Mus musculus: one gene and its partners. The protein of the gene in region 1 purifies or fractionates together with the protein of each later gene. This does not show direct contact. Links are inferred from orthologs where the notes say so. Each region holds a gene or a part of one and is shown in the gene's direction. Other genes may lie near its edges.

Evidence for each region.
Region 2: the proteins of Cbx3 (region 1) and Zfp644 purify together in Homo sapiens (affinity purification with mass spectrometry; 3 studies listed by BioGRID and IntAct, with this or other methods). This does not show direct contact. The link is inferred for Mus musculus from reciprocal best matches to the Homo sapiens genes CBX3 and ZNF644.
Region 3: the proteins of Cbx3 (region 1) and L3mbtl2 purify together in Homo sapiens (affinity purification with mass spectrometry; 5 studies listed by BioGRID and IntAct, with this or other methods). This does not show direct contact. The link is inferred for Mus musculus from reciprocal best matches to the Homo sapiens genes CBX3 and L3MBTL2.
Region 4: the proteins of Cbx3 (region 1) and Adnp2 purify together in Homo sapiens (affinity purification with mass spectrometry; 3 studies listed by BioGRID and IntAct, with this or other methods). This does not show direct contact. The link is inferred for Mus musculus from reciprocal best matches to the Homo sapiens genes CBX3 and ADNP2.
Region 5: the proteins of Cbx3 (region 1) and Max purify together in Homo sapiens (affinity purification with mass spectrometry; 3 studies listed by BioGRID and IntAct, with this or other methods). This does not show direct contact. The link is inferred for Mus musculus from reciprocal best matches to the Homo sapiens genes CBX3 and MAX.
Region 6: the proteins of Cbx3 (region 1) and Adnp purify together in Homo sapiens (affinity purification with mass spectrometry; 7 studies listed by BioGRID and IntAct, with this or other methods). This does not show direct contact. The link is inferred for Mus musculus from reciprocal best matches to the Homo sapiens genes CBX3 and ADNP.
Region 7: the proteins of Cbx3 (region 1) and Suv39h1 purify together in Homo sapiens (affinity purification with mass spectrometry; 3 studies listed by BioGRID and IntAct, with this or other methods). This does not show direct contact. The link is inferred for Mus musculus from reciprocal best matches to the Homo sapiens genes CBX3 and SUV39H1.

The regions. Positions count from the first base shown.
Region 1 is NC_000072.6:51,469,323-51,473,453, forward strand, and holds the start of Cbx3 (chromobox protein homolog 3), read left to right. Parts: upstream 1-1,293; 5' UTR 1,294-1,417; intron 1,418-1,929; exon of another isoform or gene 1,930-2,188; intron 2,189-2,493; 5' UTR 2,494-2,522; coding exon 2,523-2,546; intron 2,547-4,131. Other genes in the region: Hnrnpa2b1 (heterogeneous nuclear ribonucleoproteins A2/B1), read right to left, coding at 349-354.
Region 2 is NC_000071.6:106,693,972-106,698,298, reverse strand, and holds the start of Zfp644 (zinc finger protein 644), read left to right. Parts: upstream 1-1,468; 5' UTR 1,469-1,767; exon of another isoform or gene 1,768-2,065; intron 2,066-2,080; exon of another isoform or gene 2,081-2,501; intron 2,502-2,599; 5' UTR 2,600-2,656; exon of another isoform or gene 2,657-3,162; intron 3,163-4,327.
Region 3 is NC_000081.6:81,666,869-81,670,430, forward strand, and holds part of L3mbtl2 (lethal(3)malignant brain tumor-like protein 2), read left to right. Parts: intron 1-290; coding exon 291-528; intron 529-1,761; coding exon 1,762-1,895; intron 1,896-3,258; coding exon 3,259-3,382; intron 3,383-3,562. UniProt on the Homo sapiens protein: Putative Polycomb group (PcG) protein. PcG proteins maintain the transcriptionally repressive state of genes, probably via a modification of chromatin, rendering it heritably changed in its expressibility.
Region 4 is NC_000084.6:80,148,681-80,152,912, reverse strand, and holds the start of Adnp2 (activity-dependent neuroprotector homeobox protein 2), read left to right. Parts: upstream 1-1,430; 5' UTR 1,431-1,547; exon of another isoform or gene 1,548-1,551; intron 1,552-4,232. UniProt on the Homo sapiens protein: May be involved in transcriptional regulation. May play a role in neuronal function; perhaps involved in protection of brain tissues from oxidative stress. May be involved in erythroid differentiation.
Region 5 is NC_000078.6:76,938,203-76,941,764, reverse strand, and holds part of Max (protein max), read left to right. Parts: intron 1-1,674; coding exon 1,675-1,798; intron 1,799-2,250; coding exon of another isoform or gene 2,251-2,335; exon of another isoform or gene 2,336-2,596; intron 2,597-3,009; coding exon 3,010-3,197; 3' UTR 3,198-3,562. UniProt on the Homo sapiens protein: Transcription regulator. Forms a sequence-specific DNA-binding protein complex with MYC or MAD which recognizes the core sequence 5'-CAC[GA]TG-3'. The MYC:MAX complex is a transcriptional activator, whereas the MAD:MAX complex is a repressor.
Region 6 is NC_000068.7:168,183,071-168,186,632, reverse strand, and holds part of Adnp (activity-dependent neuroprotector homeobox protein), read left to right. Parts: intron 1-1,460; coding exon 1,461-3,562.
Region 7 is NC_000086.7:8,071,922-8,075,961, reverse strand, and holds the start of Suv39h1 (histone-lysine N-methyltransferase SUV39H1), read left to right. Parts: upstream 1-1,201; 5' UTR 1,202-1,399; coding exon 1,400-1,418; exon of another isoform or gene 1,419-1,824; coding exon of another isoform or gene 1,825-1,846; intron 1,847-3,493; coding exon 3,494-3,639; intron 3,640-4,040. UniProt on the Homo sapiens protein: Histone methyltransferase that specifically trimethylates 'Lys-9' of histone H3 using monomethylated H3 'Lys-9' as substrate. Also weakly methylates histone H1 (in vitro).

The DNA.
Region 1 (4,131 bases):
CAGAAACGTTCCGCCGCGAACACAACCGAGCCCCTAGGCCCGCGCACATCGAAAGGCCAGCGATGGCCCGCTCACGCGCTACTTTAGCGGTCCAGCCCGGTCGCGGCGGGCACTTCCCATCCCCCACCCCAACTGAGGGAAATGGCGCCGGGCGGCTGAGGGCGGGGAAGGCGGTCGGACAATCAGAGGCCTCCTCCAACGACCCCTCAGAAACTCGCCAAGGCCAACCGCCACTCGAGTGGCCGCATCCCCTCCGCCGGACCACGGAGGCGGGTGGCCGGTTTCCATTGCGGTGCCTACGGCCTCGCCATGCCATTTTTAATAACTCATTGATTTCAAACCCGTTACCTCCATCGCGGACTCAGTCGCTTCAGCCCGATTTCCCGCAGCCGAGCGAGATGAGAAAGACCTCCGCGGACGGACGCGCACGGGACTCGTCCTGGCGCTGTGGGGAGAGCAGGCGATGGCCAAGAAACTGGGCCGCAAAGGAGCTCCTGCACACGGGACCGGCGCCGCTGCTACTGCCGCTGGAGCCGAGACCGCCGCTTTTCTAGAACCTTCCCCCCACTAACGCGTCTCCGCTTACGTCACGCCGTTACGTAAACGCCCTAACCGCCGCCAATGGCGGGAAGGGCCTACACTCTCCTTACGCCAAGTACGTGACACTCCCCCTTTAGGTACAGCGGGACTGCTTTACATCACTTGCGCAACTGTGTTCCGTGAATTGCGGAAGGCTCGCGCTCGGCGTGTTACTACGTCCGGAACTAGGTCCGGCCCCCACCTCCGCGTAGGGAGCGGAGAAACGGTCGCGCAGTTTGAAATAACGCCGTCGGGAGGGGCTTAGGCCGGCGCTGGGGCGTGCGGCCCTCTCCACCCAAGCGTGCTCTCTGCAGCTACGCCTTTGCCAAGCCCGTCCGCACAAATATTCTCGAACCACACAAATATTTCTACACGTCCCAAAGGGGTTCTCACTCGGTCCCTCCCAGAAGGACTTTTAGTCCAAGTACCACCCCGGATGCCACAAGCCTTGGGATCCCGCGCCTAGTGAGAGGTGGTGCTTAAAGAACCCCGCTGTTTATCTCCCCGGCCTTCAAGATCCGGGCAAGGAGGTGGGTGGAGCCCCGCTTTGGCGCGCTCCGAGACGCAGAGAGGCCTCCGCGGTCCTTCCTGCCCGCCTTCCCCCCCCTCCCCCCAGCCAGGAGACCCCCTGGGCGCCACGCCGCGGACGGTGAGCATTGCGCGCGCCGCCCCCCGCAGGACGCGTTCCCGGCGGGCCCCGCGCGGCCAGGGCGTGGGCGGTGCTCCCCCTCCCCCCCGGCGGAGCTGCCCGCGCCCCCTCCCCTCGGATGTGGCTGAACCGAAGCGCGCAGGCGGGAGACTCTGCAGGATCCGCGGCCCTGAGCATCGGAGCGGTGAAGTTCGTGCCTTTGCTTTTTTTCGATCTTGCGTGTGGTGGGGTTTAGGATGCTCCGTGCGTCCGAGCTTGCGGGGAGGCTGCGAGCCCCGTGGGCCGCGGGCTGCGGGAAACCGGCTGGGGCCTCGCTGAGGCGGGCGCCGCGCCGGTGCGTGGGGGAGATGGGACAATTGTGCATGAGGGTGGGAGCCGGATGACAGCTACCGAGACTCCAGACAAAGCGCGGGCCTCCCCTCCCCCAGCCTCGTCGCAGGCCCGCAGGGAGAGAGCGGTTCAGGCTCTGCAGCTGCGAGGCCCGAGGCTCCGGGCTGCGGCGCGCTCCCGGCTACGTGGCCGCCGCCGGATGGGGGAGGCGCGGGCCCGTGGCGCAGTGCCCTTGAGCCCCCGCCGCCGCCTTTGTTTCTCCCCGCGGAGGCGCTGACCACGAGGCCCGCGCTCTCGGGTGGGGGACGGGCTCCCGACCGGGGAATGGAGCTGGGAAGGAGCCCTCCTCGGAGGGGAGCGTGAAGGAGGTCGACTCCTTCTATCCTTATCAGGACAGTACTTGGGAGCTTGAGGCTGGGGATTGCCAGGCGTTGAAGCCCAGACTGGACTATAGAGAGTGATTACCGCACCACCACCCCCGGAAAAAAAAAGCCAGAAAATAGGACTGGGACATCTTAATGTGTTCCTTTTTTTATACCGTGATTGAACAGGGAGGGCCTCTGAAAAAATAAGGATGGAATTATATGAGCTCCTTGGAGTATTCAGAAATCTAAAGAAAAAGATCTTATGGTAATTTGCTAACAAAAGATAGTCATTTCCTTTCATCCAAAATAAACACTAAAATTGTTAAAATTCTATATGGATTGGGAAAGTAACAATCCTCACCATGTAAAGTTGTCTGAGGTACCAGTGTTTTAGTAAGATTATTTTCACTAACATACTGAAATTATTAGTAACATACTAATAACACGGGAACTCAACTGTTTTCCTGCATTTTTACCCGAAATTTACATGTTGAAATCCACACAAAACTTGTAGCTGCCTTTTGTGTGTCATGAAATTTTAACTGTCCTACATTTTTTTTCTTGCAATAGCTCTTCAAGTCTCCGATTAAATTTAAAAAATGGCCTCCAATAAAACTACATTGGTAAGTTTGTGAAAACCTAGAACATAAGAATCTTAACTGAAGGATTTTTTTTTTTCTTTAAAATTACAATTAAGAAACCATGTGGTGGTGGATCTCTGAGTTCGAGACCAGCCTGGTCTGCAGTGTGAATTCCAGAATAGTCAGAGCTACACAGAAAAACCCTCTCTGGGCGTGTGGGTGGGGGAGCTAGAACCTGTGGTGGACATGGTTGTGCCTTCCTTTAATCCCATCATAAGTGGGTGAATTGCTGTTAGAAGCCAGCCTACCTAAGTCCTTGTATTTACCAGCATTCTAAAGAAAAAGGAATTAACACTAAGTAAGGCTTTTCTTAAGGAGGATCACAATACATTTTTTTGAAAAAGCGTTGTACAGTTTTTGCTGGATGCTTTTGAGGTAAAAAATGCATGTTTGTGGGTTATAAAACAGCTCAATCTTCAGAGCCCAAGGAAAAGTGGAAAGAAAAAACAAGTTTCTACCAGAGTGTGCCTTGATTTCCACACAGGAGCTCCATCATATTGTTAATGAGCTGAATGGGGGAAGAGTCGTGGACAGCTCTATAAAAGTCTTGTGGGTTGGCATGATTACCCTGGAAGCTGTGCTGTTCTGGAGACACTGAGCATTCATTAGTGCACAGAGAGTGAGTTAGATAGAGCTCACGTTGCCATGAGCAAGAATTACAAACTGTCTAGGAGTGATCTAAGACTGTTAGATCAATTCTGTTTCTTTTCAGCGATTTCTGACTGTTGCTAAATCCAGTGTTAGTTTTCTTGGGATTTCTAGTAAGTTAGACAAATTTATTTTTGTCAAGTTATATTTAAAATAAATAAAACTGGGTCAGCCAGGCAGTGGTAGCCCACAACTTTAATCCCAGTACTCCAAGACAGAGGCTGGTAGATAGATCTACACAGCGAGTCCACGGACACCCAGGGCTACACAGAGAAACCAAAAACGGAGGGAGGAAAAAAAAATGGGTCTGAAGGTGTATGTTTGTGATCCAGCCTGTGAGAAGCTGAAGCAAGCAGATTGCCTTGAGTTTGAGGCTAGCCTGGATTCCAAAATTCTGGGTAGTCGGGGCTGCATCCAAGACCCTGTCTAGAAAAAGATTCATGTCAAAAGAGTGAAATTTACAGTTGTGGTTTCTACATTAATTAGGACACATTGATCTCAATCATATGGAGGTGTGCATTAACAAAACATGGGTTTTTATCCTTGAATTTCTGACCAAAATGAGCAAGAGGGTATTTCTATCTCATATAGTGCATGACTTCAACTGGTCTGCAAAGTGGACTAGATTCTGTGATCAGAAGCCCTGATGGTCACTCTTAGATGACCCAATACAGTGATAAGCATGAATCATCTGGTAAACTGTGGAGATGCTGTGAGTGTGGGTATGGCCCTGGATGCTGATGGACTGAGTATCCTGGTTCTGAGGTGCTGCTGGTGATTTTTTTTTTCCTGCGTGATCCTTCACTTGGTGATGGTTAGAGGGACTAGGCATTTGATAGGGGGTTATTTTTGTGATTCCTTTAAAAAATTTTTAAGTAGCATCTGTAGTTACACATGGTGGTGCATACCTATAATTCCA
Region 2 (4,327 bases), on another chromosome or scaffold:
ATATAATCTGAATACACACACACACACACACAAAGTATCTGGAGATCCCATACATCGATATATTTTATATATCTGAAATGTGCCCTGAAGTATGCAAGGCTTGGTTCCAGGTGATAGGCCTTTGAGTTCTGCAGGTTAACAGACCTGGTGGGTCAGGAGACATGGCTCACTGGCCAAGAGTACCTTATGTGCTTGCTGGGGACTCAGGATCAGGTCCCTTGTGATATTTCCACATGATGGCCTGTCATTTGCAGCTCCAGTTTCAGGTCCTTCCTGAGGCTCATTTGGACTCTGTGGTACCAGGCATGAAGCATGCGGTGCACAGCCATACATTCAAGCAAAACCCAAACTCATGAGATGAGAATAAGTCTCTAAAGTGCATCTCCTCCAAGCAGTTGGCTGAAAATGGACACAGATTTATTTGTTGTGTATCTATCTATTCGTATATATGAAGGAAAGCTTTCATTTTGAAACAGCTCAACAGTCTAATCTCTCTTTGCCACTTTAGGTTGTAATGAACTTGAACAGGTGACAAGAATGCCTGACACACACACAGCATGAACTCTAGTTGTCAGCAGTTACTAGCAAGCGAAATAATTAGAGTGGATAGTGAAATGTTCGTTCTTTGGGATACATTTGCTGCTTCTGAAGGCACCGTTTTTCAGGAAAGATACTCCCATTCTTGACAAATAAATGTAATTATGGTGTATTCCTGTGAATGTTAATAATATCTCGAAGGCTTGGAGGTGCATAGTTCATGATTACTGCTTAACTACTAAAAAACGTTTTAAAGTTTTTCATGAGAAAAAGTTCAGCGAAACCAAAGAATTTAGTAAGGCAGGCCCATCAGAGTATTCTAGAACGTTTAGCTCACCTTCAACAGGTTAGGAACTTGTTGACTCGGTTCAAAAGCAAAGCGAATACCTCTAATTAGTGCGCTGCTTCCCTCAGAAGCCCATGGCTGAATGCTTGTTAAAAGGGAGATTTAGAAGACCCTCTGGGGAATCTATTGATTACCTGAAGAGTTAACCAGCATTTCTGACGTCTCTTTGCATGACTCCAATTTGGACAATCAAGGCATGTTCCTTAGTGCAGAATCTGCCCTTGCAGAGTCCAAGGAACCCAAATCCGGGCCTTCTTTTTGGGTGTCTTGTCTGGGTAACTGAATTTCTATACCTGATGCTTTTGCCACCTGGCCTGTTTAACATCATAAAACCTGTCTGTGCCAGTTCTCCAAGGTAGGCCTGATATATGTTGCTGGTTCTTTCAACAGCTGGAAAAGGGAACAGGTTTTTGGCAAACTAGCGATTGCAGACACCAGAGATGGGCCTATTCCACCTTAAAGGGCCTAGGCATTCCTGGTACTTGGGTCTTGCAGAGTTTGGTCGCCACCATATTTGGAGCGTGCCTACTTTGGGGCGGGAACCTCCTCCGGAGTGGTTAGGTCACCGCTGGGGGAGGTGACCTTGTTTGGTTTTGGCACGGGAGAGCAGCGGTGCAGCGTTGCTGCCGCCCCCCGTGGGTCTGATTGGCACGGGAGCTCCGGCGGCCCGAGAGCACGGGCGCGCCTCGCTGGCTTCCCCCGGCGGCCGGCGGCCAGGCAGAGGCGGGAAAGCCGCGCGCCTGCGCCGTGGGAACCGAGGCCGGAGGCGAGAAGCGGGGAGCGGAGGGGGCCGTTGGAGCCGAGTAGCGTACAGAGCGGCGTGTGACGCGGGGACGCCGCGCGCTCCCAACGTCGCCCCGGTTTGACGCACACGGCACCAAACTGTGAGTTTCGGGGGTCTTATTCGGTCGGATTAGCCCCGGCCCCGGCCGCGTTTCGGACGTCCGGGCTGAGGCGGTGGCGGGACTGAGGGTGGCGGAAGAAGTTGTGGGGGGACCCGGCCCGCGGCGCTCGGGCCCGGGGAGCTACGCCCTAGGCTGGCTCCCAACCCTCGGAAAGGACGCGTTTTGCCGCACAGGCTAAGATGGCGGCTGCTGCCGAGGAGGCGGAGTTGCTGCTGCACAAGGAGCCCGGGCCGCGGGGTCCGGGAGGCGGCGGTCGCGGGGGGCCGCGGAACCTTAGGTGAGCGGCGGCGGCCGCCGCGGGGCGGGACTCGGAGGCGGGCGCGCGGGGCGGGGGGTGCCTTTCCGCTGCGGCGGCGGCGGATCCGGTGGCGGACACAAAGGGGCCGAGCCGGGCTCTGGACTCGGGGGGTTTTGTTTAGTCACATGTAGCGGAGCAGCCAGTGAGCGGTAGGGGGAAGGGGGCCGAGACCCGGAGGTCCGGGGAGCCCTGCGGTCGCCATTGTAACTCCCCGAGTAACGGGGGCGGTCCGAGAGCAGTCAGGCGGCGCCCCGTGCGCGGCTAGGCTACTCTGTCCGGGCCTGTAGCCCCGGCCCTGGAGGTAACTGTCCACACCCCTCCCCTGACTTTGGGACCAGAGCGCATAGCCTTCCCCTTCTTCCCACTGGTCTGCAACATCTTGTGCCGCTAAGTGCCTGAGAAGTAACTCCAAGAGGTAAAAAAAAAAGAAAAAAAAAGAAAAAAAAACACTCGAAGTGTTTGGGTGGCCACGGGGCTTGGTGGGTATCTAGCTAAAGCTTTTTGCCTCTCCAGGTCTGATTCCCTGGCCTTTGTGTCCCTGGGAGCTTAATCTCTGCCAGAGGAAAGCAGGTGTGTGCTCCGTCCACTCCTCCCGAGAACATGAAGATGAGTTGTCCCAGACCCTTCCCCGTGATTGGAAACTTAGGTGGTTTCTTGTTGCGAGACTTCCACAGACGACTCTCGTGTTGGGATCCATCCATGGTTTAGCGACATTAGTGGAAAAGTTCTCTTCAACTGTTAAAATAATACTGACTTAAATGTAGTTGTTATAAAACTTTCGTATTAGCTTTCAAATTTTATGTGATAAAACTCAACGAGGGGATGCCCACGGCTTGTGGCCCTGAAATGATGTTGGTCCTGTTGTGTGCACAAGTTAATTTCCACAGAAGTATCCAAACACCATCACGTGTTGTGGCCAGTCCTGACTGATGCCAAGTTTACTGCATCTGGGAGATGTGTTGGATTTGCCTTAATCGTGTTGTAGTTTAGTTAATTTTGGCCCCACGAAGGAAAGTGTTTCAGAACCTAAACAACTAAAGTTCCCCAGATCAAGAAAACCTGCTTCAGGGCCATGTGTAAGTATCTAGGGAACTAGGTGTCAGCTATACAGCTGTACCTTATTTCCAGTAGGTTTGGTAAGAAAGAAATGGAGATTCTATATTGAAGTTATAATTCAGTGTAGACCTTTAAACTGGTGAAACCTGAGTGCTTGACTGGTACTAATGCAGTTTGTATGTTGCTGTTGAAAATATGGCTGTAAAAAGTTTTAAGTACTTTATATTGTGTTTGCATCATGCATTGTATTTCAAGTAATACTGAAGTGTGAATTCCAAAAGAGCTGGTGCCTTGTATGTGCCATTAATATAATCACATGAAGGAATATTACACCTTTAGATCTTTGAATTTTTTTTTTTTTCTTTTTTTTTTTTCTGAGACAGGGTTTCTCTGTATAGCCCTGGCTGTCCTGGAACTCACTTTGTAGTCCAGGCTGGCCTCGAACTCAGAAATCTGCCTGCCTCTGCCTCCCAAGTGCTGGAGTGCTGGGATCAAAGGCGTGCACCACCACCGCCCAGCTAGATCTTTAAACTTTTTAACATTACTTAAAACTTTAGTTTTCCTCGTTTCTTAGCTTTCTTTCAAATACAGAGAAGTTTTGTATTAGGAGGCAGGAGATATGCTAACAATCAGATGTGTCCCCTGGATCATACAGTATTAGAAAGGAAGATGGCCAAGAGCTACTGTTCTTACTCATGGCCTTAGCCCTGTAGTGAGCGAGTTAATGCTGGGATGGAAGACGGTCTCTAACTCCTACCCTAGTTCTAGTTTTGTTAGCACCTGGTAGTGGTTTTAAAAACAAGGGGCATTACTGAGCATACCCGTTAATTAAAGTGTCATTAGTGAGACCTTCTGAGACAATACATTTAATGTTATGTAATTTTTAGCAGTGCTGCTTATGTATATATTTTGAGCACTTTCCAACACTGACATGACCCAGAAATGTAAAAGTTAAAAACAAGGAACATGCTTGATAACTAATCTTGGAAAGTTGGAGATAATTGCTGTTACTGCTGCGAAAGTCCAAGGAATGTTGAAGGCCACGCTAGTATCTCTCACTTGGTAATGCCATTTTGTTGGATAAACACATAGGCCTCTCACACTACTATTTAAGTGACTTTTTAAGACCAGCTACTGCTAGTACAAGTCTTAGGAAATGCAACAAGCGGTGAGATCACTCATGGT
Region 3 (3,562 bases), on another chromosome or scaffold:
TCGGGTGCCCTTACCCACTGAGCCATCTCACCAGCCCCGTATATTGGTTTTTCATGCCATGATTTCTTTGTGTAGCCTTGGCTGTCCTAGACCAGGCTGGCCTCAAACTCACAGAGATCCACCTGCCTCTGCCTCCTCACTGCTGGGATTAAAGGGGCGTGCCAGCCCCCCACCCCCAGCTCAGTTAAGAGTTCTTGCTGCTCTTTCAGAGGACCAACATTCAAATCCCCAACTCATGCTGGATGGATTAGCCAGTTTGTAACTTCTCGTTCTTGTCGTTTTCCCACTAGGAGGCGCCATCTTCAGAGCCAATGGAAGAGGAGGAGGAAGATGACTTGGATCTCTTTGGGGGCTACGACAGCTTCCGGAGTTACAACAGCAGTGCGGGCAGCGAGAGCAGCTCCTACTTGGAGGAGTCAAGTGAAGCAGAGAACGAGGACCGGGAAGCAGGGGAGCTGCCCACCTCACCTCTCCATCTGTTCAGCTCTGCGAACAACCGCTCCTTGGATGGAAGTGGTTCTGAGCCAGGTGCTTTCCCAGTGGCCTGAGATGGAGAGGAGGCAGGAGGAGGCTGTGGAAGAATTGAGGATGTGGGTGGAGACAGCCAGATGTCTAAGGCACTGTCCTTGAGGGTCGTTTCCTCTCTGCAGTCTAGTTTTAAAGTCTTATTCTCCAAAGCCTCTTGAGTTTATTTGGCACTTGTTAAATTCTATTACATTTGTATGACTAGGCTGGGCAGTCCCTGAGTCTGGGTATGAAGACAGTGAGACTCAGTGGTGTGAGTGCTTTTGAACAGAGGAACAGGAAATAGCTTGTGGGCTGACAAGTGTGGGGTAGGAGGTGTACAGGATAAAGTGGTCTTCAGGTCAGAGGGAGGCACAGAGAGGGAGGCACGGAGGTGGGCAGAAGGGCGTGGCCCTGAATCATCTGGAAGCCAGCTGACTTCAAAGAGGTAGCACTTGGATGGCTGCTAGACCCTGTGTGAGGGCGGCCAGAGTGTGGGCCGTGTGTCCTTGAGAAGAGGCAGGCTCCAATCTTAGGACTGTCCCACCCCCTCCCATCCCTTCACACCGGCACTCTTGGGCCGGGCCGTGTGGCCAGCTTTCCTTCCACCCATGTTGACTTCTCCTTTTCGTGTCCTTTTCCTCTTTTTCCTCTTTCTTCCTCTGTCTTCTTCTCACCCTTCTCTCAGAATCTGAGAGCGTCAAGACTAGCAGGAATCATTAGGGAGAGCATCTGACCCCAGGGGCTGGTTTATAACCCGGGCTGTAGATTAGCGTCATCTGGGGAGCTGGAAAGCCCATCTGGGAAGCCCTTCAGATGGCTGTGTCCCTGGAGCCCAGGGCATGGCAGTCTCCAGCCTCAGCAGTATACAGAAGGCTCCTCAGGTGATCTAGTGTGAGGTCAGACAGCACACCTGCCCTCTGGTCACGCTCCTCTCTCTAAAACTCGTTCATGTGGATCTCCAGTCCCTTAGCCTCAGCTCTAGGTACAGAGCCTACGGAGGTGCCTAGGTGGAGGGGCAGACACTTGGAGTTCTGCTGCTGGCGAGGCTGATGGTGGAGGGTCAGTTGAGCCTGCAAGTTTGAGGGCAGCACATACTGAGACTTGCTCTTGGAAGAGAACTCCATCCACTGCTCACGCCCTCCTCTCTGTCAGCCTCAGAGCCTGACACTCACATGGTTGATGCAGTGCTCTGGAAGGTTTTGCTTGACTTAAAGCAGTTATGTCAGGGAGTCACATGCTGAGTTCTCTTCCTAGCTGTCTGTGAGATGTGTGGTATCGTGGGCACAAGAGAAGCTTTCTTCTCAAAGACCAAGAGGTTCTGCAGCGTCTCGTGTTCCAGGAGCTACTCCTCCAACTCCAAGAAAGCCAGTATCCTGGCTAGACTACAGGTGAGAAGAGCCCCTGACACCCATCCTGGGGCCTGGATGCTGGGCTGGAGCCATCATGTGACTGGAGGTGAACGGCTTAGCCAGCTTGGGGGACTTATTCCTAGAGGTCATCTGAGGTACATGAGACCCTCCCTCAAAGAGTGGCCCATATTTATTTATTTATGTTTTATTCATTTTTGTGTGTATGAGTGTTTTGCCTGAATAAATGCCTATGCACTACATGCGTACAGTGTCTGAGAAGACCAATAGAGGGTGTCAAGTCCCCTGTCAAGTTGGAGGCAGTTGTAAGCCACCATGTGGGTGCTAGGAACTGAGCTTGGATCGGCTGGAAGAGCAGCCAGTGCTCTAAGCAGTAGCCGTCTTACTAGGCCCCTTACATTATTTTTGAGACAAGGTTTCACTGTGTGACTCTGGCTGACCAGACTGGTCTCAGACTCACAAAGAGCTGGCTACCTGTGCCTCCTCACTGCTGGGTTAAAGGTGTGCCCTCCCACGCCCAGCAATTCCTGTTTTAAAAGGCCAAAGCTTTTGGTGTCTTTTAAGGCAGTGGTTCTCGAGTTTCCTAATGCTGTGACCCTTTAATACAGTTAGTTCCTCAGGCTGTGGTGGCCCCAGCCGTAAAATTATTTTCACTGCTACTTCATTTCATAACTGTAATCTTACTACTGTTTTGAATCATAATGTAAGTATCTGATTCACAGGATATCCGATATATGACCTCTTTGAAAGGGTCGCATATTCAATCAAAGGGGTTGAGACTCACTTCCTTAAGGTCAGACTTTACGCAGCTGTGCCTCCACTTGGCTGGTGTGTTGCCTTGACTCCTGGCCTTGGCCTTTATCATTGGAGCTTAGTTGTCTTATAGGTGTGGACGTGAGTGTTCCCTGAGATGCCCAGGAGAGGCCCTCTGTATGTTCTCTCCAGAGCATTTACACGTACAGGATGTTGTCTCCGGCTCTCCCTCAGTCACTCAGCTTAGCTCTCCATGAGCCGGGAGCATGGAGGGAGGGCAGTGACTGCAGTGAGATGTTAGGGAGAGCTCAGAGGCCTGAGTGACATGTGTCTGTCAGCTGCAGCTCTGCTGACCCCAGCCTTCTGCAGGTGTCTCCTGAGTGTTCTCATTCATCATTATGTTTACAGAGGAAACTCAAGCCCAGAGGTTAGATAGCTGCACCAGGAGCTCACCCTCAGGAGTTCCTTACTTGGCATGGTGGCTTATGCCTGGGACCCTAGCACTCAGGAGGCTGAGCACAATAGCTGCAAATTTAGGCCACCGTATCTCAAAAGAAATAACAAAGCAAAATAGAAACAGATTCAAGTTCATAGTCGACAGTTCGTTTTTTTTTTTTTTTTTGCCCTGCAGGGAAAGCCACCCACCAAGAAAGCCAAAGTCCTGCACAAGGCAGCCTGGTCTGCCAAAATTGGAGCCTTTCTCCATGCCCAGGGAACAGGACAACTAGCAGATGGGACACCCACTGGACAAGATGGTGAGACAGAATCCAGGGATGGGAGACTAGGGTGGAGATGGCCTGCTGGGAAGTTGGGGATCCAGGTCTACAGTGAACTGTCTCCACCTGCTGGCTTCTGTGGAAATGACCGTAGGCACTCCTTTGAGTGGCTCTATTGCCTGCCTCCTCCAGCACACAGAGACCAAGAGTCAGCCACTT
Region 4 (4,232 bases), on another chromosome or scaffold:
CTGAGGAGGCAATGCCTGAAGTTGAGGAGTCAAGGGCAGGTGAGAAGAAAGGACAGAGACTTTGAGAAATGGGAAGAAGTGAGATGAGACATAAGGCTGTAGCTAACTTTTCATCTCACCCACGATTTCTCCAGGGAGATGGGTAGGAACAGCACGCTCACTTGCTGCTGTAATTTCACAATCAAATTAAGCTACAACTTATGACTAAATAGGACAGGCCAGCTCTATTTCAGTTATGACTTGTCTTCATGTAGGAAATAAAAGGTTGTGGTCAGTATCACCAGCTCAACATTGGACACACTTAAAACTGATATGGTCACTTACTGAGTGTCTATTATTTCTAGTAACTGGACCAAACTGAACAAAAGACAGACTAGAAAATGGTGACGTTGAGGCAGGAGGATAAGGTTTCAGATAGGGTAGAGCAAACACGGTGCACACCATCAGCCTGGATAGAACCTAGACATGGTGATGGCAGTTGATGGAGCCCAAGTCTTGGTTTGGTTTTATGGACCTTCTGTGGAAACAGGGTTGATGAGGGCAGTGGTTGTCAGACTGGGAAATGTCTGGGATCCATAAGGGGCGGGGATAGAAGACAGGCCTGTTAAAAGGACTGCAACACATTTTAGAGTATTTCTATTTGTCTTCTCCAAAAGTCCCTGCTGAGCCTCTTGCTGCATCTAGAGCAGACAGGCTTTCTGTAGGGGTGGGGTGGGGTTGGCCTCTCCATGGTTGAAGACTCAGAAAACAATTTGAAAGCTCCTTTTCCATGTACAATCCAACTTGAGAAACATTCTACCATTATGCAAATACATGCAATTAGCTCTCTTCTCTCACAGGGTGGTATGGATGTAACTTTAATTCTCAAAAATTCTCAAAAGGTGTGACACAAATTTTCTTAACAAGAATGATGACTCAGGAGATCCTATCCGGTTGGCTCACCAAGATCTGTCAATCATAGGCACACTGGTCCAAGTTCCTAGAGTTTAAGTCCTATCCTCCAATAGCAAGCCAGTATCCTCAGGGCTGGCTTCTTATTGGCTTGTAGGTATGGGCGGGGCCACCCACTTGGCTTCCACTGGCTCCACCCCCATTCCATGCAAAAGAAGTCAGAGCTCTGGTGGACTCATGTGATTGGTCATGTGGTCGATGACGGCCTCGCCCCACCCCTTCAATGACGTCACCACCTCCTTAAACTCTCTCTCGAGAGCTTGCCCAGAGGGGGCGAAGGCTCTAGACCCAGGGGGTCCAGGGGAGGGGGCTGCGGTAGGCCCCACCCCCTCCACAGCCTCGAGGCCTGGGGGCTCCAGGGGCCCTGAGGGGCCCGGGAAAAGAGCCCAGGGGGTCCCCAGGCACACTCTACACCCATTGGCTGGCCTCGTCGGCATGCAAATGAGGCGACGTCACTTCCTGAGGCAGCTGAGCGCCATCTTCTCTTTCTGGCGCGCGGGAGGAGGGACGGGCGCGGGGCGGGGGTCCCGCCGCGTAGGCGGAGGACGCGGCGGTGTTGCGACGGCGGCGGGACGCGGCGCTCCTCGCGCCCCGCGGTAGGTACGCCCGCCAGGCCTGCGCCGACCCCCCGACCCTCCCCGCGACCCACCCGCCGTCCACTCCTGGGTCCGCCCCGACGTCCCTAGCGCTGTCCGCTGCGCTGTCCCCACTGTGGCCTGTCGCGCCGTCGCTACCTCCGCGCCTTCGGAATCCCGGACCTTCTAGTGCGCGGCTCGGGTCCCCTCCGCGCCCGCTCGCGGGTCACGTGGGAGTGGGGCCGTTCTGGGGGGGGGGGAAGGGCGGGGACAGGGGACGGGGAGGACGGAGGGGAGGACGGAGCAGGGAAGGGGGACCCGTGGAGTCCGGGCACGGGGAACAGAGCGGGGATGGATGGGGAGAGGGGGCGGGGCAGGGACGGGACGCCGGGCGTGGCGAGAGAGAGTGGTTGGGAGCCGAGGGAGGGTGGGAGCGGACACTACCGGGAGGCGCGGGGAGGCTCTGCGGTCGCGGGCAGGGCGCCCCTCTGCGGCGTCCCGGGAATGAAGCTGAAGCCTGAAGATCATCCCGTTGTGGAGGATGGCGGGATGCAGGGCAAGCTTGTGGCCGCTTCTGAAGCGCCGAGTTTTCTTCCGAAGGAGAGGCTTGGTTTCAAGCACTGCCGAGGGCAAACCCCTGCCTCTTCATCCCTGATACTGCGGCGATCGTGACCGATGCGCAGATGCTGAACGTGAAATTTAACTTTGCATCTGCCATTTTAGAGGGATCAAAATAGGTTCTATTCGCACAATTTCTACAAAGGTTTGAGTTGGTGTAGTGTTGTAAAACAAGATATAAATTTTTAAGTATGCTTGACTTTGAACCAAAACTCGTGTGAGTGTGGTGCTTAAAGTTAATGCGATTAGGAAGAGCGATCACTCCCGAAGAAGTAACCAACCTGGTACATTAGTGTACATTAGTACCGACAGAACCTTTACCTGAAGTGTTTTGCTAGTTCGGGGCTTGGACTGGTCCAGTCTGCTGTGGAAATAGGGGACAGCATGTGTAAGAAGTTATGGAAAGTGCGATGTTAAGCTCTGGTTGATAGTTAGGCGTATTGCCTAGGGCTATCACAGGTGGTGGTGATATTGGCCACATAGCGATGTCTTGGGTAGATGGAGGCCCTGCTCAGAAAAAAAGCGTTGACACAGTGGTCCTTAGGTAAAGGTCCTTAAGCACAAATTTGTACTTAGGATAGGCAGGAAATGAAGTCATTTCAGGCTATTTTAGGCATCTCGTTGAGAAATGGGAGGAAGAGAGGTCTGGGTCATTGGCCTGAGGGGATAACAGTTAATACAGTTTTTAGCTTGGGATTTGCCGATACCGTTTTCATTTGAAATCAGGTTTTCAGTGTACTGTTGCTCCATTGGTGGTTGAAAGGTAGGGCTTAGCTTTTCCATACTGCACCCAAATCCTTGCTGACCTGCTATTTAGAGAAAGCAGATTGATGAAGGTCAGGTGGCTAGAAAGGGGTTTTCCTGTGGGTTGAAGCAGACTTTCTGGATTACAGTGTTTGGAAGTTGCTAAAAGAAAGTCCTAGTAGTTGGGGCATCTCGCTGAGTTTTTGATTTACATTATTCTAAACTCCTGATGATACGTGTAGTGCTTTTCCAGTGTTGTCATCTCGACAACTGCTCATGAAGTAAATTCCTTGCATTGTTTCACAGATGCAGGCAACTGAGGCCCAGAGAGATTCAGTGGTTGGCTAGGTTTACTCAACTATAAAGTGCTTGAGTTGGTTTCATCCACGAAAAAGCCCCAGGACCTGTGCTGTGACCCTTGCTGTGTTGCCACTGGAGATTGACCATTTTAAAAATCAGATCTTGCTGGGCATGGTGGCACATGCCTTTAATCCCAGCACTCAGGAGGCAGAGGCAGGTGGATCCCGGAGTTTGAGGCCAGCCTGGTCTGCAGAGTGAGTTCTAGGGTCACCAGTGCTGTCTGGAAAAACCAAAAACCAACCAAACAAAAACCCAGAACAACAAACAAAAACCTAAAACAACAAACAAACAAAAACTAAAGCAAAACCCAGATTGTATAGGAACAAAAATGTTTTGTGTCTTAAAGGGATTATCTGGTCATTTAAAAAAAATGTATATGTGTGCCTGTGTATTGGTATGTGCGCATGAGTGCAGGTGCTTGGAGAGGGGAGAAGGCCAGGCTGGGTCCCCTGGAAATAATGGCTGTTAGCCAACAATCATTGCTGCTGGGAACCAGACTTGGGTTCTCTCCAAGGGCAGTCAGTACATGAACTTAAACACTGAGCCATGTCCCCAGTCCTTTACGTTTCTTCCTGACTACCTAAACATGAACTGAGCAAGGACAACACTGGACATGCTAAAGTGGATTGGTGCGGGGCTGGGGAGGTAAGGCCTCCACAGGCTACTGAGGGGGTGGGAGACATAGTTCTCCTCAGGGAAGAGCATACTGATTGGTTATTCATAACAAGTGGTCAGTCCTGAAAACATACATAAGGCAACATGCAAACCGATCACGTTGTATTTAGGAATATATATACATACAACAGTTTATGAAAAGTGCTATGAGTTTGGAAGAGCAAGGAGTGGACTATGGGAGGGTTTGGGGAGGATGGGAAAGGGAGTGATGTAATTATATAAACGATAAAGTAATAAAGGACATAGTTATCAGAACTATCCTTACACGGGCGTGATACCAAAGCAATGAAAGGATCTCCTTAGGAAATG
Region 5 (3,562 bases), on another chromosome or scaffold:
TTGAGTGACATTTATAATCTGTTAGTCAGTACACTTGTCAGCACTGCCTGTGGCTTGTCTGCATAGAGATAATACTTATCTTCTCACTAGACAGTAAGTAAGCTTATGGGTAAAGAAGCTGTGACTAATATATTTTGTTTCCCCACACTGTGCCTTGTATATAACTCTTACCAGATAATGGTTGACTATGAATGATGTCTTGAGCAGATCACTTTGAGGGCACTATGAGAAGAAAGCCTGGAAAGTGTAATATTCCCAAAGACGGTAGAAGTTCAGGCCTTGTACACCTCACTCCATCTGTCCTAAGGTCTGTAAGTTGGTCATTAGGATTTTTAGTATGGTAAATTGAGATTTGCTAGTTTGAAGACTGGTGTGTTCTTTGCCTTCCCGTCACTTTTTTCTGGTTGTTTTGGAGCACTAGGCTGAGAAGCAGAATTGTCAGTAATGATCCTTTTGAGGGCAAAGCTTTTGAGTGCTCAGACTCTGGAAGGAGCACTAGACTCTGGGCTACTGTGCTGCCCTGCCTTGAGCTTATATGTGTAGCAGTTGATGTGTAGAGCTGGTGCCCTGCCTCTACCTCTGGCCATGTATGTAGCCTGTTAGAAATCTTCCAACAAGTGTGATGGATGCTAGGAGCATAGTAAACACTAACCTGTTGCTGCTTTGTTGACTTATTTATTAACGTGGTTCCCTGATGAGCCAGGCCCACACAGCCTGCTATAGTTGTAGAGGTGTGGCTATTTCCTGGGATGTCTCAATTACTTATCCTTCCGGTGTTGACATCAAGTACTTACAGCTTTCATGCTAATCTCTTTAGACAGGAGGCAAAAATGGTGATACAACAGCAGTGTTGTTCACTTGAGCCTCCTTACCAATAGTCTAAGGGTTTGGTGAGGTCTTAAGACCATGATGGAAAAAAATGTACCCACTTTCATTCCAAGCCAGGTCTACTCCAGCCCTTGGTCTTGTCATCCTGAACAGCCTGTCCTAGCAGAGTCTTTGTGGCCTGAGCTTTTCTTTCATTATTTCAGATGCAGTTGAACTGTGTCTAGTATTTACAAATCCCTGGGTTTAATCCAGAGCACCATATACAACTGGGAGTAGTTATCCCGACACTTGAAAGCTGGAGTGGCATACTCAGCCACAGAGTGAGTTCAAGACCAGCCTGTCTCAGGCATCGGCAAGCTGAAGACTTTAAAAAGCCAGAGGGTTTAGAGTGTATGTAGCTCGTGGCTGTAATCCCAATACTTGGGAGACCTGCTTGCCTGGCCTTAAAACCCCGTTTCAAATAAATAAAAGCTATAAGAAAAAAATCCAGAGAGGGGCTGAGAGGAGTACAAGTTGAAGAGTCATACAGACTCCAAGCCCAGGCCATCCACAGACTAGCTGGTGGTTTTAAATAATTGAGTGTGGCTCTCTGAGACCTGGGTTCCTGGTAGAGCTCCTGAGACTCCATGTAGGTAAGTTCTGTGAGTTGCTTGACACTTTGGGATAAAGACCATAGCTAGCCTTTACTTTTTTACTCAGCCTTTTCCATCATGGCCACCCACCTGTTTCCTTTCTTTCCCTCATGCTGTTGCCAAAGAAGGGCATGGTTCTCCTACTATGCAGACTTGGTCTTTATTTTGTTCTGTGTTTTTTTTTGTTGTTGTTTTTTTTCTCATATTGCATCAGGCATCCCGGGCCCAAATCCTAGACAAAGCAACAGAGTATATCCAGTATATGCGAAGGAAAAACCATACGCACCAGCAAGACATTGATGACCTCAAGCGGCAGAATGCTCTTCTGGAGCAACAAGGTGAGCAACCAAGCTCATGGGGCAACTGGCCCTGCTGTGCCCCGCCAGGCGGGGGCTTCCACACCTGGGCTTCCGTCAAAGCTAGAGGACTATGCCTCAGAAGCAAGCTCAGCCTGGCTCTGCAGGCCTTGCAGTTGAGTGTTAGAGCCTCCAGTGAGGAGACGGAGGAGCTAGGGATTGGACATCCGAAGGCTTGTATCTTTTCTGGCCTGACCTCTCCCTTTCTCGGGGCTCAGGTTCTCTGCCTACAGTAAGGGTCACACCTGGTGTCAGGTATCTGAACAGAGCTTTGAGGTCCTTGCTGTAGAATGTGCCATGTAAGTACCAGATTCTCCAGGAGTTCAGGGACAGTGAGCCCTCCCCATTGTCAATAGTAGTCCAATCAGGGCAGCCTATGGGCCAGGCCCCTGCTGTTCTCCAATGCTCACACCCGCCTTTTCCTACAACCACAGGGGAAAGCGAGAGCTGATCAAGTTCTTTGTTCCTGGGGAATTCACTTCTCTTCCTCCCTCATGGAAGATGCAAGTAAAAGGAAATGCAAGTAACCGCCTGGGTTAGAACATCTCACATAAAATAACATGAAGGGTGACCCTCCAGGCTCGAGCCGAGCTCAACCAAGGGATGGGCAGTGGGCGGCGGCAGCGGGTTGGATGATGGGCCAAGCAGCCTGCATGTAGGGGTGTCTGTTGAAAGGCCCAGGTATTTTGTGTGTATTGGTGACTTGCTTCCAAGTGTCCAGCTTGTCATTCCAAGTGGATTTTGTTCATGAGAGCCAACCAAAAGTTTTCTTTGACCCAATCTATTGTGTCATCCTTTCCTGCTATCATTGGGCCTTCACACCGTCATGGAGCCTAGCTTTGCTAGGCTAGCTTCTTCTCTGTCATTGCATTGCTCAGTCCAACAGGGAACTCTTGCTCTGGTCTCTATGCTGGGTCCATGGCAGGACGGTGTCTCATCACAAGCCTTCTCTTCAGGGTGGTATGGCTGTGGCTGGCCATGTCTGCTGGGCCCCCAAGCCCATCTGGGAAAGGAAAAGGGGGACGGAAGTGTGCAGGTGGAGCAGCCACCGGAAGGGAATGACTTCTGAGCCACCCTGTGCCTTGGGGTCCAGCAAGCAAACCCTTAGGAAGAACAGGCTGGACCCTGAGTCTGAGACTTGGTTGCTCCGGATCTCCAGAAGGTGGTAACATGCTCCCTTGGTTGCCTTTTAGTCCGTGCACTGGAGAAGGCAAGATCAAGTGCCCAACTGCAGACCAACTACCCCTCCTCAGACAACAGCCTCTACACCAACGCCAAGGGCGGCACCATCTCTGCCTTCGATGGGGGTTCAGACTCCAGCTCAGAATCCGAGCCTGAAGAGCCCCAGAGCAGGAAGAAACTCCGGATGGAGGCCAGCTAAGCCATGCGGGGCAGGCCAGCAATAAAACTGTCGACTCTCTCGTCGCATCCTCCTTCTGTTCATCATTAGAACCCTCAGAACCATTGAGAAGACTCTTTATTTTCCTTTTCTCTTTATTAATTGTTATTTTTGCATAGAAGCTCTTGGACAACAGCTCTCATCCCCTTCCCTGTGTCCACTATTTTTAAATGTATTCCCTTCAGGGGTTCCTGTCCCCACCAGAAATTTTAAACCAAAACACCCCAACTTGGCAGCTCTTTCTGTGGAGGACAGACGGCCGGCCAGACCTCTGAGTACACGGTGTCCTGCCCACCCTACCAGCTCCTCCAGCCCTCAGAGCACGTGCCTGGAGGACGCCTGCTCTA
Region 6 (3,562 bases), on another chromosome or scaffold:
GAGAAGAGATTCTCAGCTCCTATTCTAATGCTGTGTTTGTATTTTTGAACTCTACTTAATGTCCTAGGAAGAGGTGTTAAGCAGCATTCTTACATCTGAAGGCTTTCCTAGAAAAGTTTGGTTCTGAAGATAAGGTCTCTAACCTTGGCTGTACTAGAACTTAGAGATCCACTTGTCTCTGCCTCCCTTGCACTGAGATTAAAGGTGTGCACTACCATACCATCTGAGGAGCTTGAAGGGGACACAGGCAACCAAAACTACTTTTGGTTCCAAATAGTTCATGAAAAACTAGAGAAAAGATGATGGTTTATCATGTATATATTTACCTGTTCTTGGTCAGTTCTGAAAGCTGATCTCTATTATCATTGTGCAGTAGTGCACAGTGGCTTCTAAACACTTTGCCCTCTGTCTATAAGGCAGTCATAGTTAACTTCTTAGCTGGATTAAAACAGCTGCAACTTCAAAGGCCATTTACTGGTTGGTTGGTTGGTTGGTTGGTTGGTCGATTTTTTTTTTTTTTTTTTTTTTTTTTGAGATACTTTCTCTATGTAGTCCTGGCTACCCAGAGAAAAGATGTGCACCACCATGCCTGGCTTTTAATTGGCAGTTTGGGGGAGGGAGGGGGAGATGTATAATGAATGTTTTACTTGAGTGGGTGTTTGTGCTCTGTGCATGCTTGGTGCCCTCTGAGGTCAGAAGAAAGCACAAGATGCCCTGGAACTGCACTGTGGATAGTCATAAGCTGCCTTGCAGTTGCTGGGAACCAAACCCAGATCCTCTTTAAATACAACCAGTGCTCAACTACTGAGCCATCTCTCCAGCCTTCATTGACCTTTTGTGAAACTGTTTTGCCAGAGAAGAAACAGAAAGAGACCAATGTTCCCCCCGGAACCTTTTGATCCACAGCGAAGTCTAAATAAATACTGCTGTTAGAGTGAGGAAGAAACTTCTTTTGAGATTTTCTTTTTTCTATGCAAATTGTTGGGTGATGAGAAAGAGAGCTGTTTGCCTTCCGTGTTGGTCATCAAGGTCTGCGTGCATTGCAACAGTGTCACCTGTGAGTTCCTGTGTCTGAAGCCGAGAAGATCCACAAAATGAGGCTTTTCCATAGTTGGTTTGTGTTTTTAACAAGAAAATGGAGAGGCTTTTTGTTTGTTTTTGTTTTTGTTTTTTTGCCTCTGACTTCTCTCTGAAACCAGCCAACAAGTACAACTAGCAATTTTTAAAGATTTAGCAAGAACTTGCACTGAGTTTTCATTTACAGGAGCACAAATAAAAATATTTGATTCAAAAATGCATCTGAGTTCTTTTAATTTTTCCTGCAGGAGAAACCTCTAAAAGTCATTGCCTTGCAGAGTTTCTGGGAATGCCTGGGGGAGGAGCCTGGAACTTGTAACTGCTTGCCTTGAGTGGCCTTCTCACTCTGGTTTCTGTTCTGTTTTGTTTCGTTTGTTTTTTAGGACTATCGGACAAAACCTTTTTGCTGCAGTGCTTGTCCGTTTTCCTCAAAATTCTTCTCTGCCTACAAAAGTCATTTCCGGAATGTCCATAGTGAAGACTTTGAAAATAGGATTCTCCTTAACTGCCCTTACTGTACCTTCAATGCAGATAAAAAGACTTTGGAAACACACATTAAAATATTTCATGCTCCAAACTCCAGCGCACCAAGTAGCAGCCTCAGCACTTTCAAAGATAAAAACAAAAACGATGGCCTTAAACCTAAGCAGGCTGACAATGTAGAGCAAGCCGTGTATTACTGCAAGAAGTGCACTTACCGAGACCCTCTCTACGAGATCGTCAGGAAGCACATCTACAGGGAACATTTTCAACACGTGGCAGCACCCTACATAGCAAAAGCAGGAGAAAAATCACTCAATGGTGCAGTCTCCCTGGGCACAAATGCCCGAGAGGAGTGTAACATCCACTGCAAGCGATGCCTTTTCATGCCCAAGTCCTATGAAGCTTTGGTACAGCATGTCATTGAGGACCATGAACGGATAGGCTATCAGGTCACTGCCATGATCGGACACACAAATGTTGTAGTTCCCCGAGCCAAGCCCTTGATGCTGATAGCTCCCAAACCTCAAGACAAAAAGGGCATGGGACTCCCACCACGAATCAGCTCCCTTGCTTCTGGAAATGTCCGGTCGTTGCCATCACAGCAGATGGTAAACCGATTGTCAATACCAAAGCCCAACTTAAATTCAACGGGAGTCAACATGATGTCCAATGTTCACCTGCAGCAAAACAACTATGGAGTCAAATCTGTGGGCCAGAGCTATGGTGTTGGCCAGTCAGTGAGGCTGGGACTAGGTGGCAATGCTCCAGTTTCCATCCCTCAACAGTCTCAGTCCGTGAAACAGTTACTTCCAAGTGGGAATGGGAGGTCTTTTGGGCTAGGTGCTGAGCAGAGGCCCCCAGCAGCAGCCAGGTACTCCCTGCAGACTGCCAACACCTCTCTACCCCCAGGCCAAGTGAAGTCTCCCTCTGTGTCTCAGTCACAGGCATCTAGAGTATTAGGTCAGTCCAGTTCTAAACCTCCACCAGCCGCCACAGGCCCTCCTCCAAGCAACCACTGTGCCACTCAGAAGTGGAAAATCTGTACAATCTGTAACGAGCTTTTCCCTGAGAATGTCTATAGCGTTCACTTCGAAAAGGAGCATAAAGCTGAGAAAGTCCCAGCCGTAGCTAACTACATTATGAAAATACACAATTTTACTAGCAAATGCCTCTACTGTAATCGCTATTTGCCTACAGATACCCTACTCAACCATATGTTAATTCATGGTCTGTCTTGTCCGTATTGCCGTTCCACCTTCAATGATGTAGAGAAGATGGCAGCACACATGCGAATGGTTCATATTGATGAAGAGATGGGGCCTAAAACGGATTCTACTTTGAGCTTTGATTTGACATTGCAACAGGGCAGTCACACCAACATTCATCTCCTGGTGACCACATACAACCTGAGGGATGCCCCGGCTGAATCAGTTGCTTACCATGCCCAAAATAATGCCCCAGTTCCTCCAAAGCCACAACCAAAAGTTCAGGAAAAAGCAGATGTCCCGGTTAAAAGTTCACCTCAAGCTGCAGTGCCCTATAAAAAAGATGTTGGGAAGACCCTTTGCCCTCTTTGCTTTTCAATACTAAAAGGACCCATATCTGATGCACTTGCACATCATTTACGAGAAAGACACCAAGTTATTCAGACAGTTCATCCGGTTGAGAAAAAGCTAACTTACAAATGTATCCATTGCCTTGGTGTGTATACTAGCAACATGACAGCCTCAACCATCACTCTGCATCTAGTCCACTGCAGGGGTGTTGGAAAAACCCAGAATGGCCAGGACAAGACAAACGCACCTTCTCGGCTCAATCAGTCTCCAGGCCTGGCCCCTGTGAAGCGCACGTATGAGCAGATGGAGTTTCCACTGCTAAAAAAGCGGAAGCTGGAGGAGGATGCTGATTCCCCTAGCTGCTTTGAAGAGAAGCCAGAAGAGCCTGTTGTTTTAGCTTTAGACCCCAAGGGTCATGAAGATGATTCTTATGAGGCTAGGAAAAG
Region 7 (4,040 bases), on another chromosome or scaffold:
ATAGGGAAAAGGTTTAACATTTGAAATGTAAATACATAAAATAACCAATTTTTAAAAAAAGGAAAAAAAAAGAAAATCTAAAAAAAAAAAAAAGATAAGTCAGGGAAGCATTTCATGATAACTACTGATGCCCAAATTACTTTAAGCTGATATTTAGTGAAATGGATTTAGAAAAATAATTGATGGGCCACATTGAAGTTTGTGTAGCACGTAACTCTGTCCTCCTGCTGTGCAGTATAGGGTTTCTCATGTCTTGTTGACACTAGAGATATGAATACGTCTGTAAATCTGTAATAATTGCACTTTGCGAAATCCTGGCTCTTTCTAACTCTTCTGGTATATGTGCGTGTTACTGTGGACTGTGTACGTGTGCATACACATATGTAGGCTAGAGGTCAACAGCAGGCATCTCCCTTGATTGTGATCCATTTTCTTTTTAATTCTTATTACATTTATTGGGTGTGTGTATGTGTGTATGCAGACACATATGTAGGTCAAAGGTCAATGGTAAGCATCATCCTTGATTGATCTCATTGTATTTTTTTTAATATTAAATTTATTTGGGGTATGTGTGTATACACCTACCAAAGTGCAGGTGTGAACAGAGGACAGCTTACAGGAATGGGTTCTGTCCTCTAAGAGCAAGCTTGGGGCTCCTGTCTCCCTCCTCCAGCACTTTGTCGCTGGGTGTGGCTCTTACATGGGTGCTGACAATAATTTGTCCTGACCTAATCCCAGTCCACTTCGGGACATGGGTGGCCATTGGAGTTTGAGACGTCTCCTTCAAGGAAGATGGAGAAAGGGCTGCCTGGCTAACAATGTGATGGGGACAGTTTGAGGGAATAGCAGGCTGCCTGACAAGGGTTGTGCTTCTATGAACTCAGACGGCTGCAGGGCACAGATGGATGCTACTATTGACTGAGTGTGAATGAAGAAGCGAGTGATGGAAACGGACATCTGATGGCGGCGACCGACTTATTATTTATTTCAATCAGGTGACTGGCTGAGCACCTATATATATGGCTCTAGGTCCACCCTGGCAGTGAATGCCTGCGCGAGGTTAAAATAAATGACTGGCAGAATTGGGGTTGCACAAAACAAGCCCTTTATGACTGGCTGACGCCGCGATTGGCTAGCAATATGACTGACAAGGGGCGGGTCCTGGAGCAAAGGCAAGCTTTGCTACTGCGCAGGCGCACTCTGAATAAAGGCAGCGAGCACGGGCTCTCGAGACCACTCCTGGTGACGGGAGGAGTCCAGGCACAGCTCCGCGGTTGGTCCGAGCCGGAGCTGCGAGCGGCGAGGAGCGGCCAATCGACTGCGCGTCCCCGGCCACGCCCGCGCGCGCTCTCTTCTCGCGAGGCCGGTTAGGCCCGAATGTTGTTAGCTGTGGAGAAAGATGGCGGAAAATTTAAAAGGTGAAGCTGTGGTGCTAGAGACGCGAGCTACTGGCCCGGCCGAGTAGAATGGAGGGAAGGTGGCCGGGGCTCCAGGCCAGGCGTCCGGAGCTACGGAGCCTGGAGCTGGAAGGCCGGCGCGGCAAACGTGGGGGCCGAGAGCGCGGGCCCGGCGCGCGGGCAGGGCGGGGCTGAGGGGAGGGGGCGCGTGCTTCGGCCGCGGGGGGCGCGGGGCTGCGCAGGCCGCGCGCGGGGTTTCTCGGCCGCGCGCGGCTGGCCGGCGCGCCTACGCGCGTGAGAGAGAGTCCTGAAGGAGAAGGTTGCGGCCACGCGCGGGAAAAGGCGGCTCTCAGTGACCGTTACCCTTTCGGTTTCCACGGGAGACGCCGGAAGGGGAGGAAGAAGTGGAACGGACCCCCTTCTCAAAATGGGGGAGCCGGCGACTCTAGGTGGGAAAGGGATCGAGGCGAGATGGGGGCAGGGTTTTCGGGTAGACGAGTCTCCCCGGAAAGCGGGACTTGGTGGGGGGGCCTCGGTGAGAGGAGGGCTCGGCTCCTCCATGTGCAGGAAAAGAGGGGTGACTTGTGCGTGCTGGGCGGGCTCCTCGGCCTCGAGTAGAGCGCTGAGAAGAGATTCCACAAGTGTGAGCCGGAGCTGCGGTGGGGAGGAGTGCGGCTGCTGGCACTGCAAATGGTATTTGCAGGCCACTTCTTGGGGCTTTCAAAGGCGTTCCAGACGCAGGTTAGAGGCTCCGGGAACCGAGAGGCCTCGGAGGAGAGGGATTAGTCTCTGCTGGGCCTTGGATAAAAAAGGATCAGTGTATATGTACGCAGTGATCTTTTTTTCTTTTGAAGTGTTTGTGTGTTCTTAGGTTACCATCTAGAGCATCTTATTAGGATTGTTTTAGATTTGAGTCGTATGATGGGAGGAGAAAAAAACCATCCTTAAAAGATGGCATTGGCTACTGACAGCATACACCTAGCATCAAGTGGTTTTGTGACATATTTTGATTTTTTAAAAATGGCTTCTAAAATTACGTTGAAGAAGGGATGTGCTCTGAAGCAAAAAAATGTGTATACTTTAAATCCGCTTCTCTTGAACAATAATTTTGGTGACCAAGAGTCATTGTCGGGGCTTACCTACCACATGTATTGTTTACATGTTCCTGAATTGAGAGCAGATCCCTTCGAATTGAGTTGTACTTTTCACCCCCGAGACAGGGATTTTTTTTTTCCTTGAGACAGACTACGGCTGTCCTAGAACTCAGAGATCAGCTTGTCTCTGCCTTTCCTGGGTCTAAAGGTATGCACCACTATGCCCAGTTTAATGTAATATCTTTCTACAATCTTTATAATTACAAAACCTAAAGTCCTTTGAAATAAAAGTCTTTCTTAAATGTGTCACTAATCATGGCAAGGGATTTTTAAAAGTGAAATTATTCAGTGAGAATATTTAATGTGAAAAATCAAGGCTTTTGCTATAGATGTGTTTGCTGTTAATGTGTTTTGAGTATAGATGGCTTAATGTCCTATGCCAGGAATTCGCCTAAAATTACTTGTGTAAAATTCCCAAATGTTTGAATTCCAAAATCCAGTGGCCCAGGAGTTTCAGATAAGTGAAGACTTTATAGCAACACCTCTGTTTGTTGCCCTAGGGATTTTTGTCCTACCCTGACTCTCTTAGTTAACGCACCCCAGTCTTTTGCAAAGTGCAAAGAGCATTGCTTAAGGCTCTGACCGAAGGTAAGTCTGCAGGCAGCTTAAGGCCTTGGATGTTCTGCCAGTGGATCCCTTTATGGACGGGCCCATTGCTACAAGCGCCACTTCATCCTTGCCATTCCAGAGTTAGGGGGCCAGAGTTTGGAGTAGAAGATTCTCCCAGATGAGGGCATAGGTCCTCTGATAGGAGAACTGGACCCTTCCATGTGCAGGGAAAGACAGGTTGATGCTTCCTGGTGTGTAGGCTTATTTCCAGGTGTTGCCCTGAGAATTGAGCATTAGGGTTCAAGGAATTGGCACTTCCTGTTGCAGAGGATCTTAGCTTTGGGTAAGGCCCGTCGATTACATTTTTGTGAGTCTTTGGCCTTCTCATTCTAGGTTGCAGTGTGTGCTGTAAATCTTCTTGGAATCAACTGCAGGACCTGTGCCGACTAGCCAAGCTTTCTTGTCCTGCCCTTGGTGTTTCTAAGAAGAATCTGTATGACTTTGAAGTTGAATACCTGTGTGATTATAAGAAGATCCGTGTAAGTCTGGTGTGAGTGTGTGTGTAGAGAGAGAGAGAGAGAGAGAGAGAGAGAAAGACAGATACTACACTGGCAGGGGACCCTCTTCTCCACCAACCCCACATCTGTTTGCAAAGAGGATTTTTCTCCTCTGATTCTTCCTGGGGGGAAATAGAATGAATTGACCCTCTTATTTCCATTTTACAGGGAGGGAAATAAAGTGGCTTTCTCAGAGAACAAGAGGCAGAATGAATCCTCCAATGCATGTTTGTTTCCACCTAGAAATACAAAACTAGTTACCAAGTTGATACTTTGTGCCTAAGAGTGGAAGTAAAAGATGGCAACAGGTAGAGTGCCCAACCATAAACAGTTACTGATGCCACAGAAGTAGTAGCAGGATAGTTAGAGGAGCCCACTGAAAG